Linked DNA regions of Ovis aries. The protein of the gene in region 2 interacts with the protein of the main gene of each other region in a pairwise test. Links are inferred from orthologs where the notes say so. Each region holds a gene or a part of one and is shown on either strand. Other genes may lie near its edges.

Evidence for each region.
Region 1: the proteins of CEP70 (region 2) and PIMREG interact in binary tests that used the Homo sapiens proteins (3 or more experiments, as listed by UniProt). The two-hybrid records come from large-scale screens. The link is inferred for Ovis aries from reciprocal best matches to the Homo sapiens genes CEP70 and PIMREG.

Annotation. Positions count from the first base shown.
Region 1 is NC_056064.1:25,301,973-25,308,823, reverse strand, and holds the start of PIMREG (protein PIMREG), read left to right. Parts: upstream 1-2,381; 5' UTR 2,382-2,416; intron 2,417-2,941; 5' UTR 2,942-2,977; coding exon 2,978-3,271; intron 3,272-4,366; coding exon 4,367-4,662; intron 4,663-5,154; coding exon 5,155-5,250; intron 5,251-5,870; coding exon 5,871-5,904; 3' UTR 5,905-5,920; intron 5,921-6,287; 3' UTR 6,288-6,851. UniProt on the Homo sapiens protein: During mitosis, may play a role in the control of metaphase-to-anaphase transition.
Region 2 is NC_056054.1:251,157,699-251,164,549, forward strand, and holds the start of CEP70 (centrosomal protein of 70 kDa), read left to right. Parts: upstream 1-2,756; 5' UTR 2,757-2,846; exon of another isoform or gene 2,847-3,045; intron 3,046-6,851.

The DNA of each region.
Region 1 (6,851 bases), on a different chromosome or scaffold from region 2:
AGACAATCCAATTGGAGAGGCTTTGTTTCCAAGTGCGTCATCTTCCCTGAGTCTTTCACACACGTTCAACTTAGTTTCCAGAAAAAATAATAACCCTTTCTTTTCCCCTTCATCTTTCACTGGAAGAGGACAATGAATGAAATTCCCTAATTACAATAACAAATTCAACAAGCATACCAGAAGTGTGGGAACAAACACTTCAGATGCTTAGGAAACAACTAAGCTGGGGAAGAAGTTGGACATGTAAAACAGAGCAGGGTTTTTCAAACCATAGCTCAGAACTCTTAGCGAACTGCTGAAAAACGAACGCAGCAAGTTGTCACCAGCATTTTCAAAAGATGAAGTACTGAACAGAAATTATGTCAAAGCACCCCACACATTGTCAAGTATTGTTTCAGGAAGATTTCGTTTCAGTTACACATAGGTATGTGTGCTGGGGGGCGGGGGTGGTCTCACCTGGGTCCTGGGTCCCCCAAACATGATGTTCTTTGTGGAAGAAGATCCCCACCCCCAAATACACACATACACACACACACACACATTCTTTGATGGTGAGCTCATTCTGTAGGTCTCAGCTTTAAGTGACATAATTTTTGTGTCATAATTCTCTTTGATGAATTGAGGACTTGTTATTTGACTCATCCATGTCCGTCTCTCCCCCACACACCAGGTTTGAGCTAGTTCACCAAGTTAGTTCACCTGTTTGGTTCACCTTTGTGGATCATTGTCAGCACAGAGCTTAATCTATCAGACACAAGTAAATAATTGGAAGGACAGGTGAGGGGAATGAGGAAGGAGAAAAGGGGGGTTGAGAGACACCAGCGTGACCTTGTTGGAGCATGTTGGTTTAAGGTGCCCACAGCACCCAGGAGGAGAAGGGGATACAGGTGCTGATTTAGCACAACTGTGGGGAGAGGTGCAGGCTGAGGAGAGGCCATGTGCTATGCTGGAGAGGCTCATGGACCCTGGTCCCAGGGTGACAGAGTTTGAATCCTTGCTGCATATAAACCGGAAAATTGAGGTCCCTCCCCATCTCCATTTCCTCATCTAGTCCTAGGCTGCAGCGAGGGGCTCTTGAGTCCCTCCTATAAAGTGCTTGGAAATTAGTACCTGGTGCATAGTGCATGCATGCGTGTGCTCAGCTGTGTCCAGCTCTGTGCTGTGCTTAGCGGTTCAGTCGTGTCCCATAGACTTGCGACCCCATAGACTATAGCCTGCGAGGCTCTTCTGTCCATGGGATTCTCCAGGCAAGAACACTGGAGTGCGTTGCCATTCCCTTCTCCAGGGGATCTTCCCAACCCAGAGATCAAACCCATGTCTCCCTCCTCTCCTGCATTGACAGGCAGATTCTTTAATCACTGCACCACGGCCAGGTGCATAGTAAGTGACTCGTTTGAATCGGTCTCCTCCCATGGGAAAAGTCCCTTTACCAGGGTTTGGGGGAGATGACCCGGAGGTGAAGAACAGAGTTAATGACTGACCTTCAAGAGACCCATAAGTTGAAACTCGGGAATGGAGCCGGGGGTGGGGGGGTGGGGGGGGGGGGGGGGGGGGGGGGGGGGGGTGGTGTATGGGGGGAGGAAAGGTTCCAGGTGAGCAGGGCGGTGAGGAAACGGAGTAGGGACTACTTTGAGGGGGAAGGAGAGGGGGCTTTCTAAATGGTGAATTTTTTAGCTCGGATGCTAAAGGGAAGGGGGGAGGCACTCAGCTGGATAGAGGGGATGGTCAATGGGACAGGGTTGGGGGTCGTACTTGGAGTGGGGGTAGGGGGCTGGGGGATGCACTCAATCTGTCCCCTCTCCCAAGATGGGTTTTCCTGGGGATCCGTGCGGATGGCAAGTTTGGGGAACTGAAGGGCAGTCTCAGGAAGGCAGAGGGTCACGAGGGAAGTTTGAAACAAAGTTTCCACAGCAACCCAAGGCTCCGAGTTCCCAGCCCAGGCTCTTTCTGACAAAACCACTGAGACCTTCAGGCAGGATGGGAGGGACCCTTAGGAGCCGGGGACCCCGCCTCGCCCCGCCCAGTCAGGCCAGCCAGAACCCTTTATAAGTTAAGGATGGGGTCCAGTGGCCCGAGACCGAGGGTCAGTAGGTGGCGCCGGGGCTGAGCCGGCGCGGGCTACGGATTCTGCAGGAAACTCGGGCGGGACCCATAGATACAAAGGGTCCTCTACGCCCGGCTCCCTGTCCAGCGGGCCTCCAGAGGATGAATGGGGATGGCTAGGCCAATCCGAGAGCAGGATTCACAGCCGCTGGCGCAGGGGCCAATCGGATCCCTGGCGTGGCCGCGAGGCGGGGACAGAGCCAATCAGCTGTGAGGACAGGACCAGGGGGGCGGATCCGCGCGGTGTTTCAAATCGACTGGATGGGCGAGGAGCAGCTATGCACGTCGTCTGGTCAGCCTCGGGAGCTGTTGGGTGAGTGCGGGCCGGGGCGTGGTGGGGTTCTGTTCAGAAGGGACGGGAGCAGGTGGGGTGGGGGACCCCTAGTTAGGACGGGCACGGCATGTGGGGCTTCTGGGTACAGCCGGATGGACATCGGGGTGTCTGGTCAGCCCACCTCCGCGCATTGGGTCAAGGCGAGCTCGTGAAAGAGTCCCTAGCCCAGCCTGGGCCAAGTGCTGAGGCTCAGCGACGGCCGGCGGGTCCTGACTGCCTCCCTCCCAGCCTGAGGCAGATAACGGAAAGTAGCCTGGGATGAAAAGACAGTTAATTCAGACACTCACAGCAAGGGACGCCTTGCTGGCCGGCCTTGTCCAGACTCTGCCCTCTCCCGGGCCTCTATGACCTCACTTCTAGGAAGAATTCCTCCCCACGGTTGACAAGCGACCCACCCCATGGGCCCCAGGACTGGAATCTCTTTCTCTGGTACCCGGTGTCTCACTGGATCCTGGGAGTGGGATGGGGGATACCCTGCTGATCTCCCATTGATCTCCTCCCCAGGGTCTGTGGGAACAGAACAGACTCTTGAACAGTCAGATGGCTTCTCGGTGGCCAGCTGTGGGGGCTTCCCTGCGTCGGAGGTCTCTCCAGAACCAGGAACGGTTGGAGGAGAGCGAGGCCCTGCAGCCTGTAGCCGGCCACCTGGACACCTCCAGCGGGGCCCTGGGCTCCCTGCGCAGACAGTTCCAGAGGCGGCTGCCCCTGAGAGCAGTCAGCCTCAACCTCGGGGTGGGCCCCTCCTGGAAACGCCTGGAAACCCCAGAGCCAGGGCAGCAGGGCCTCCAGGCTGCAGCTCGCTCAGCTAAGAGCACCTTGGGTGCCATGTCCCAGGTAATGCCAAGTATGGATGTAGGGCTTCCTTGATGCTGAAAAATGGCTGCCCCCAAAGATCTCCCAAGAATATAGACTCTGTGAAGACAAGGTCCTTGATTTATTAGTGTCCCCAGCTCTCCAAACAATTCCTGGTACACAGTAGTGCGTGCACGCTAAGTCGCCTCAGTCATGTCTGACTCTTTGTTACCCTATGGACAGTAGGAGCCAGGCTCCTCTGACCATGGGATTCTCTAGGCAAGAATACTGGAGTGGGTTGCCAGGCCCTCCTCCAGGGGACCTTCCCAATCCAGGGATCGAGCCCATGTCTCATATCTCTTCTGCATTGGCAGGCGGTTTCTTTACCACTAGCGCCATCTGGGAAGCCCATGGCACCCAGTAGATGCTCAACAAATAGCTGAATGAGTGAATGAAAACAGGGTTGTGGAGGAAACAGAACATCATGAGACAAGATGAAAGAGCTATACTGTGATAGGAAGTTGCTAATTAGCAAAGGGCTAATGGTGGGGGAACACCAAAAACAAGCTTAGTCAGTGAAGGTGACTGGAGGAGGTGACTCCATGGAATTCGCCCAGGAAAGGGGAGGTATGAGGAGGTATGAGGAGTGTACAAGACAGGTGAACTAGTCCAGACCCAGGGTTAAAGGAGAGCAAGACGCTGAAAAGAACTGGCAGGAACTTAGTCTGGGTATGGCTGGAGGACAGAGAGCAAGACAGGGCGTGAGAAGGTAGGGCACGTGCCGAACATGTTTAGAATTATTTCACTGTCTCCTGGGGGTAGGTGTGGTCTCCCCCAGGCCTCCCCTTTGAGTCTGGGTCAATCTGTCCAGAAAGAGGGTTTGGATTTAGACCAATGCAGGCTCCATGAGCCAGAGAGGTTATGCTGCCGCCCATGCACTTATCCCTGGGGGCCTGAGCTGGGTCCCTGCTATGGACCTGTGGCCTCATGGACTCATCTGCATCCCTCACCCTGAGCCTAAAGGCTTCCTGGGTCTGTAGGACCAGCTGGTGGGCCGAGGGGTTGGGGGATGCCCTGAGAAATCGGGTAGCTCACTCCTGGCTTGTCCACTCTGACTTTTCCATGCACTGGTCACAGAGGATCCAGGAGTCCTGCCAAAGTGGCACCAAGTGGCTGGTGGAAACCCAGGTGAAAGCCAGGAGGAGGAAGAGAGGGGCCCAGAAGGGCAGTAGCCCCCCAGCTCGCAGCCTGAGCCAGAGGAGCACCCGGCTATCTGTGGCTGCCCCTGCCCACTCAACCCTGGACCCCCGGGAGAAAGAGTACCACCCCCTGTCTGTCCAGATGGGCCCCCATGCCCACCCTTGGCAACGGTCCAGAAGGGAGGCTGCCTTCCGGAGCCCCTACTCCTCGGCAGAGCCCCTCTGCTCCCCTAGGTAAGTGGGGTAGTGCCTGCCCCTCAAATGCTAACTGGGCCCTGGGGGCTACTGAGCACCTTCAGGACACCCTGAGCTGAGCCACATCCATGCTCTGGCTCAGCTCTGTGCCCCACTATGGGGGACCTGGGGAGGTCCTTTTGGGCCTGAGTTTCCCCACCTGCCAAAGGAAGAGGCGAGCTTAACTCTAAGAGTATCACAGTCACCCAAGCTCCACCAAAAGTTTTTGAAGCCACCTGGCAGGGTCGGGGGGTGGAGGCTTACCTGTCTGCAGGATCATCTATCCTTGACAATGGCCTCAGCTGTTCTCTGCCATCTGCTCCGAGCCTCTCTGACGACACTTCCTAGAATGGGGGTCTGGGGTGATCAGTTCCCAGCCCACACTGGTCATCTCTGGGGCCTGTACACCAGGTCCCAGTGCTGGGTTAGAATAGGCTCCTGCCACAGGTTTCCAGCTAGTGACTGATATGCACAGCTTTTCCTTCTGTCCAGTGAGTCCGACAGTGACCTGGAGCCCGTGGGGGCAGGAATCCGGCATCTCCAAAAGGTGTCCCAAGAGCTAGATGAGGCCATCGCAGCAGAGGACAGGTGAGCCAGCTTACCGTGCTTCGAAGGACATGGCCAGGAGAGTCCCCTATGAGCCAGGCCACTTTTTCAGGCAGGTCTCTTGTTCAGACTCTGCTGTGTGAGTCTAACCATCTCTCTCCCTCTCTGAGCCTCTGCAACATGCCTTGGTCTCCTCCTTGATCAAATACTTAGGTTGGGGTGGTAGTTAAGGACACACCTAGATGGATGTGGCCCCCTGGGCCTTGGGCCCCAAAATGTGTCCATCACATGTGACCGGGTACCTGGTTCCTGAAAGATCCACCCTTCTTCCACCACTCACTCTCCATGGTTCCTCTCCACCGTGCCCACCCTGGAACTGGAGAAAGCCGCGTGGCTGCTGTGAAATGCCTGGCCTGTCTGCTTAGGACCCTGTCCTGGAGCAGCACCTGGGCCTGGAGCTGCCCTAACTGAGGTCATACGTACGTGGCTGTGATAGGCTCTGAGGCGGGGCCCCGCTGGTGCTGACTACATGCCAAGTGGGGCATGTACCCACCACACTGCCAGTTCTGGTCTTGTCTAGCCTGGGTGGGGAGGGTCCCTCAGAGCCTGCAGCATGCAGGACAGATCAGCAGCACCTGTCCCCACTGCTCTCCCATCTCTAGTGGCGACATGACTGTTTCTCTCATCCGAGACTGAGGACAGCGCCCTTCAGGTAATGCCCTCCTTCCAAGTCTCTTTCTCAGAGCTTTCTTCTCCCTCCCCCTCCTCCTCCTTCTCCTCTTCCTCCATGAGCTCGTAGGCATATCTGGAACTGAGTCTTTGCTGGAAAAAGATGTAGAGTTGATGGGCCCCACAGAGCCGAAAGCATGCAAATCTTCGGGAGCCAGGACTGTGGCTAACCTCACTGAGCCCATCACTGATGGAGCACACATGGGGCATCCCCAACAGGCACAACCACTTTCCAGAACCTCATTTGGAGGTGGGGGGCAGTCTCTGGTGTTTCCACTTCCCCTGGGGTGTGAAGGAGCTCTGTCTTGCCGGAAGCAAGCCATAGCTGACCACCATGCCCTCACACTCAGGATCCACACCTCCTGGGAGTTCCTGGGGGACCCAGGAGCTGGCGATGCCCCTGAGCTGCCACAAACAAGGACCTGACTCACAAAGCCCCAGGTGGGGGCTGCTTGGGGTCCTCTGCTTTCCTGCTTCAGCCACCTCCCAGCCCGCCAGGGACCACCTGCCACAGCCTGCAAGTGACTCAAGGAGATCTCGGAGGGGTGGGGGGAACCATTCATCCTACTTCACTGTGGGGCTTAGGAACTCAACCCACGTATGAGCTTTACAGTTGCTTCGTTTGTAACATGAAGTGCAGATGGCAGGTAATATTTGAAAGCTTGAGCTATGTATCCAGGAGTGGGGTCTACAAAGAGTCAGACCATATTATCACCAGTGTGGGGGCTCTTGAGAACCCAGATTTAGCCCTACTTCCCACACAAGAACCCCAGAAGGAGGGGTGGGAGAGGTTTCCAGGCCCCAAGATCCTGGGTCCACAGGGACCTATTCTCATTCTCAGCACAGGGCACTGTGGGCATAGAGGGCACACACTATTCAGTAGTGATTTCTGCCCTTTGTAAATTATTTAAGAA
Region 2 (6,851 bases):
GCTCTACAACTTTTAGACACTCTAGAATGTTCAGTAATTCAACAAACTTGAAAGAACTGCCCAGTTTTTCACTTTAAGGAATTTCAAATATTACCACACTAAGATAAGGCTTAGTACCCTCTTAATTATATTTCACATAAAGCATAAAAGACAACACAAATTAGAAGAGAGGTTAGAAATCAAGGTCACATAAAATATTCTTCTCTCTACTATCAACATTCATCCATACATTCCACATTTATTTAAGAAGTATCAGTTGAAGGTTTTGAAAATGTTTTGGAAATAGTGGTGATGCTGTACATCATAAATGAACTTTAGGTTCATTTAAGTCACTGAATTGGACATTTTTAAATGGCAATTTTTATGTCATATATTGATCACAACTTTTAAAAATTAATACCGTAATACACAAAAAAACCCATTGAATTGTATCCTTTAGATGGGTGAATTGTATGGTATATGAATTATATCTCAGCAAAACTATTAAAAAAAAAACAATCCAGGTGTCCTGCCAGTAGCGTTTCTTGGAATATGATTTCGCTTATGACCAAGAGATGATCACAGCTGTCCATGTCCTGGGTTTCTACCTTACTCATTTGAATAATAAATTTACCTGTCACAAAAATCTCTAAGCTACTGTCATATTCTAAATTCATCCACCATGCTAGCAGTCATCAGTTACTCATATGCCAGGCACTAAGCTCAGAGTGAGAGACTCTGGAGAGACAAAGATGATTACAGCACAGCCATGGGACTGTCCTTGGAAAGGGAAACAGTAAAGAACAGAACAGGGTGACCGAGGTGGCTCAGAGAGAAAGAATCTGTCTGTCAATGCAGGAGATGGGGGTGGGAGGGGGTGGGGGGTAGGGGTGTTGGGAGGGGTTGCTGTTCCATAAATCCCCAGGTCAGGAAGATCACCTGGAGAAGGAAATGCAACCCACTCCAGTATTCTTGCCTGGAAAATCCTTGGACAGAGAAGCCTGGCGGGCTAAGTCTCAAAACTGAGTCAGACACGACTTAGGGACTAAACAAACACAAAGAACCAGAAAAGGCCCCCAGAGAAAGGATCCTAGCCCTGCCAAATGGGTGGGAAGACCAGGGAAGCCCACGCTTTAAAACTTGAGAGAAAGGAATTCATCCATTGTCATTTTAAACTTATACATACATTTAATTATCAGGACCATGAGATCAAACTGGAAAATGATCATTACGAAGAAAAATTCCCTCTATTTCAGCACACAGGTTTTAAAATGTAAGTAAAACCGATGGAAAAACAAATTCCAATTATTTTCACTGATAAGGACAATGTCACTTACTTGAAAGTTTACAGGTCTTCAGGGCAAGTTTCTTGAGACTCTAGTGACACATCCCTCAGCATAATCATTTTAAATCCCTGTCCTAGCAACTCAACATCCATGTTTCAGAGTAGGACTTTAAAACGTTTCCACTATTTATCTAATCCCAGCTTGAATTTTGCTTTAACTTAGGTTTAATCGTACTGGGGACTATAATGGTTTATCCAAGCTAAACCTAAGTCGGTTTTAAAAATTACTAAGGTATTCAGTTTCTTTTCAGCAAAGCTCTAGGTAAGGCCAGCTATTGAACAAACTTAACAAAGAGGTGTTGACGGTGTCCGCAGGATCAGCACCGGGACCTCTGGCAAAGTCTGTCAGTTAGCTCTCTGAGCCAGGTGTTCCCAAATGTGAGGCACAAAAGACGCGAATAACTTTTCCAAGGAGCATTTTGCAATGAGTACCGCAAGCCTCTCTACACAACCAAAAAACCAGACGAAACAGTGTTCAACGAATCGTTTTTTGTAATAGGTAAGAACCAAAAACCACCTGTTTGTTCACCATCGTGAAGATAATCCGCGGAGTGAATCACAGTCCTGTCACTCAGCAAGCTTGGAGCCCGGTCAGGCGCGGAAAACCTGGCACCAAAGCACCCGTTCGCGGCCAATAAAAACGATGGAGACAAACATCAGCCGCGCGCAGACGCGGGGGATGTATTGGTAAGACAAAGAAGCCAGGCTGCAGCACTTTGTGATCCGAGTTCTGCAAAAATACAGCCGGCTCATTTTTGCAGGGAAAAGGGCACTGGAAGGAAAGACACCTTAATGCGAGCCCGGTGCTCCCCGGGAGCTTCCCGGTGACGTCTGCTCCACTTTTCCGACTGCGACAAAATGAATTGATAGTCAGGCAGAGGCCGGAGCCGCGGGTTCCAGGGCCTGGCCGGGCAGGAGCAAACCGCCGCCCGGCCGGGTCTCTGGGAGACGCCCGGAGACCCCTCCCCACCTCCCGCGCGGGCCTAGGCCTCACCGCGGGGTCGCACCGCCGCCAGGACACCGCCCACTGCCCAGCACGCCCGCCGCCGCCGTCGCCGCCGTCGCCGCAGCCGGGAGATGGCGGCCGCTCGCACCGCGGCGGGGGCGCCGGGCGCTGCGCACAGGGCCTTCCGGGCCGGCCGCGCCGCCCCACCTGGGCAGCGAGGCTCACCTGGGCGCCGTGGGCCTCTGGGGGCTCAGGGCCCAGAGACCGGTGGGTTCCGCCGACTGGACCTCCTAGGCCCTTCACCGAGAACCAGACGCAGCCTCCGTGGAAGCGAGAGCTCCGGGCGCGCCGACTGTTTGTCGCGCTTTAGGTCCCCGAGGTGCCCAGCGCCGACCGCCGCCCGCCCCTCCCCCGCGCGGCGACCAGCCCCGCCCGCGGTCCGCGCGGCAGGCTTTGCACTCTTACTCCTTCCCGAGACGCCTCCGTAAGAACCAGCTGACAGCGGGCGCTGGCTGGACGCGGGAGTGAACCGAGTGGGCAAAACCAGACCTTGCATGCTCTGAAGCCACGGGGCAGGTAAAAACGATCCTAGCATTGTCTCCTTGAAGCTCTGTATGGCTTCTGATTACTCCTAGAAAGATCAAAACTCGTTAGGATGGGCATGAGGCCCCGTGTATGATGTTGGCCCAGTCTCCCCTGGCTTCGTTTAGATAGATCCTCGAATGATGTGAAGTCCTTCAGCCCAGGGCCTCTGCAGATGCTCTTCCCTTTGCCTGGACGCTCCTCCCTGCCTCTTCCCTTAGTTAACTTCCGTTGAGATTGAGATTGTTCGTCAAATGTCATTTCCTAAGAAAAACTATCCTAAGGCTTGCAACACCTGGAATTCTCAGTTCTGTTCAAGTTGTGCAAATATTCGTGTAATCTTTGTTGAATGTACAGCATAATAGGGTTTCCTCGGTGGTTCAGCCGTAAAGAATCTGCCAGCAATGAGGGAGACCTGTGTTGGGAAGATCCCCTGGAGGAAGCACCACAGCCCACTCCAGTATTCTTTCCTGGAGAATCCCATGGACAGAGGAGCCTGGCGGGCTGCAGCCCATGGGGTAGCAAAGAGTTGGAGGGAGCATGGCTCCCTCGCAGCTTAATAGTAGGCTGAGGTCTGTGAAGTCAAGGACCACTGCTGCTTGGTTCTCACTGTAGCAGCTCCCACGTCTGCACAGTGCAGGCTCCCACTATGCTCTGATAAGTGTTGTTGAATGAATGAAGAGTAGACCTGAGTAATGTTTCAGGTGGCCTTGATTTTCATTAAGGAAGAGACAGCAATCACTGCAGAGGAGGGGATGGGTGAGTGGGCCATCTGAAAAGAGCAGTGAGTGGTCCCCGTGAAAAATGGGTTCAGCAGCAAAACAAACATGTGAAAGGGTTCTCTGGGGGCTCTGAAGATTGGAGGGCAAAGGGACATGCAGGTCCCAGTGTGTATTTCTTCCCTCAGCCTGGTGTTAAGGTAAAGGATTGTTTCACCTCTGGGATTGGTAGTGAGGATGCTGAGCAAGTATCTGAGAGAACAGCAGTTGAGAAACAATAAAGAAGAATCTGTTGATTAGGTTAACTAGTCTTCAAAGTAATGGACTGAATTCCTAGGGAAATTATGTTACAGGGATTCTGCTTAGAGAGCACTGATTTCTTGTTTGCTCTTGTATTGAAAGCTCCCTGGAGACAAAGACTTTTCATATTTGTATTTTCTTCTGCACTAGTGTCTTGAATAGAGACTTTTCAATAAATGATGATTGAAAGAATGAACCAGGGAGATAGAGAAGAAGGCAAAAGGCCCCAGAGTGGAAATTTCCAGAAATAGATGAAGATGCATCCCTAATTCCTTTTTCTTGTCCTTAGATCTTCTGAGAAACACTTGTGAATTGTTGGGTGAGGGCCAGGAAACCCTGGTTGGGCAGTAGCTGAAAAATATTGTTTAGTGAAGGATCATATTTTCTTGTAAAACTTTGGGAATCAGAATATCTTTTATAAGACCAATAAGGTATAATTTATTGAATGCTTGCTTTGTGCCTTGTATAGTATTGCCTGCAGTTCTCACAACAGTCCAGTAGTTATTCCCATTTTACAGAGACTCAAAGCCCTACAGAAGTTGCAGGGCCAGCCCATGAAGCCAGCCTGTAGAATTTTAGAAGGTCATATTATCAGAGTCTGCTGTTATTCAGATCCTGTCTTGGGGGTCTGGGGAGTCCCTAGCTTAAGGGCCCCAGAGTGCAGAGGGGCTCAGCCCACTCATCAAGTGCATTCAAGTCTGTCCCCTGAATAGGTGAGGCAGTCTCATTTTGCCGCTGGCTTATTCTGCGCCAATGTTTCCTTCTTGGGTATAGTTTCTGGGGCATCTGGAATTAAGGAACTTACCAGTCTAGGCTGTCTTTTCTACCTACGTATTCCCTGGGCCCAGCACACTGGAGGTAGGCATGGCCACTTGTTATCAAAGAGGCTTGTTAGGAAAAGAAAGTGTGAACAAAACACCATGAAAGGTGTTGACCTGAGTGTGAAACATACTCACCTGGTGATCCTGCTCTTGACTTTATTTCCACTTGCAGATTGTTTTCTTGTTTCCCTAGAAGTGCCTGGATGTTTGTTGCTCTAGCCTCTCAAACTACTTCTCACCAGCCCACCCACAGACGTCAGTGATTTATTTTAAGAGAGCGCCTAAAACTGCTTTCATTCACAGTAGTCTATGCTTTCATTGGGCCTCCTTTGGAAAAGGGAATTGTTAATGAATTAATGGATTTTCTGAAATTACTTCTTAAACAGCAAGAATGGACATCAAAATTAAAGGGAAAAGTTACATCACCTGATACCTACAGGTTTAAAACTTCCCACGTGCCCTTCCAGTATTGGTCCAGCGTGACTGTTGGCTCTGTGTGAATGGAAGCTGCGCAGAGACGTTCAAGAGCCCAGGATTCTGACTCAGCGGACTGTGTGTCAGCGTGAGTCCAGTAACCAGGCTCCTGCTCCAGCCAGGCTGCCGCTGCTTGGGCCTCTATCCTTCAGCACAAAGAGCCTCTGGCTCTCCCGACATAAAACACAGAAAGTGGAGAAGGATCAGTCAAGATGAATTTATAAACTTCACACCAGAAACATTTGACAGTTTTAGGAGAAAATAGATTTTGTTCTGAGTCATCTGGAGAGTGGGGTTTATAGGTTCACCCTTACTTAGACCAAAGAACCAAGGGAAGGCACCTTTAAAGTGTCTAAGGAGCATTCCGAGGCTTGTGTTTCAATTACTTAAGACAAAAATCTGCATCTGGTTTACTTTGAGAAATTTCCAGTAGTCATGTATGTATGTGAGAGTTGGACTGTGAAGAAGGTTGAGCGCCGAAGAATTGATGCTTTTGAACTGTGGTGTTGGAGAAGACTCTTGAGAGTCCCTTGGACTGCAAGGAGATCCAACCAGTCCATTCTGAAGGAGATCAGCCCTGGGTGTTCTTTGGAAGGAATGATGTTAAAGCTGAAACTTCAGTACTTTGGCCACCTCATGCAAAGAGTTGACTCATTGGAAAAGACTCTGATGCTGGGAGGGATTGGGGGCAAGAGGAGAAGGGGACGACAGAGGATGAGATGGCTGGATGGCATCACCGACTCGATGGACCTGAATCTGAGTGAACTCCAGGAGTTGGCGAGGCCTGAAGTGCTGCAATTCATGGGGTCGCAAAGAGTCAGACACGACTGAGTGACTGAACCGAACCAACAGAAAAATGCTTATATTCCCACCACCAGAATTGACCATTCTTAAATATTGGCTCAGTAGAAAATCCCAATGAGACTGTGCAACTCAGGTTGGATCTTGAACCTGTGGCTTTTTAATTTAGATCACACAGTGGGTCTCAGGACGTAATGAAGCTCAGGTTCTCGATGCAGAAAGAATAAAATGAGAGGCAAAGTGATAGATAAGTGAATTTATTTGGACAGAAACACAAGACTTCCCTGGTGACTCAGACTGTAAAGCCTCTGCCTACAATGTGGGAGACCTGGGTTCAATCCCTGGGTCGGGAAGATCCTCTGGAGAAGGAAATGGCAACCCACTCCAGTACTCTTGCCTGGAAAATGCCAGGGACGGAGGAGCCCAGTAGGCTCTGGTCCATGGGCCCGCAAAGAGTCGGACACGACTGAGCGACTTCATTTTCACTTTTTTTTTTCACTCCACAGACAGAGTGTGGGCCATCTCAGAAGATGAGAATATCCGAAATATGGTGTGATTAGTTTTTATTATCTGGGTAATTTCATAGGCTAATGAGTGGCAGGATTATTCAACTATTTCAGGGAAGGAGTGAAGATTTCCAGGAATTGGGCACTGCCTACTTTTTGGCGTTTTATGGTTAGCTTGGAACTCATGGTGCTGTTGAGTGTGTCATTTAGCTAATGAATAGAATCAGTGTATAGTGAGGCTTAAGGTCTATTGGAAGTCGAATCTTCCACCATCTTGGAGCTAGTTGGTCCTAGCCAGTTTTTATCATGACCTATAGCTATGTCATTGTTTAAATGTTGTACCCATCCCCCTTCCCTCCTGTTTCACTAGTAGAAGGA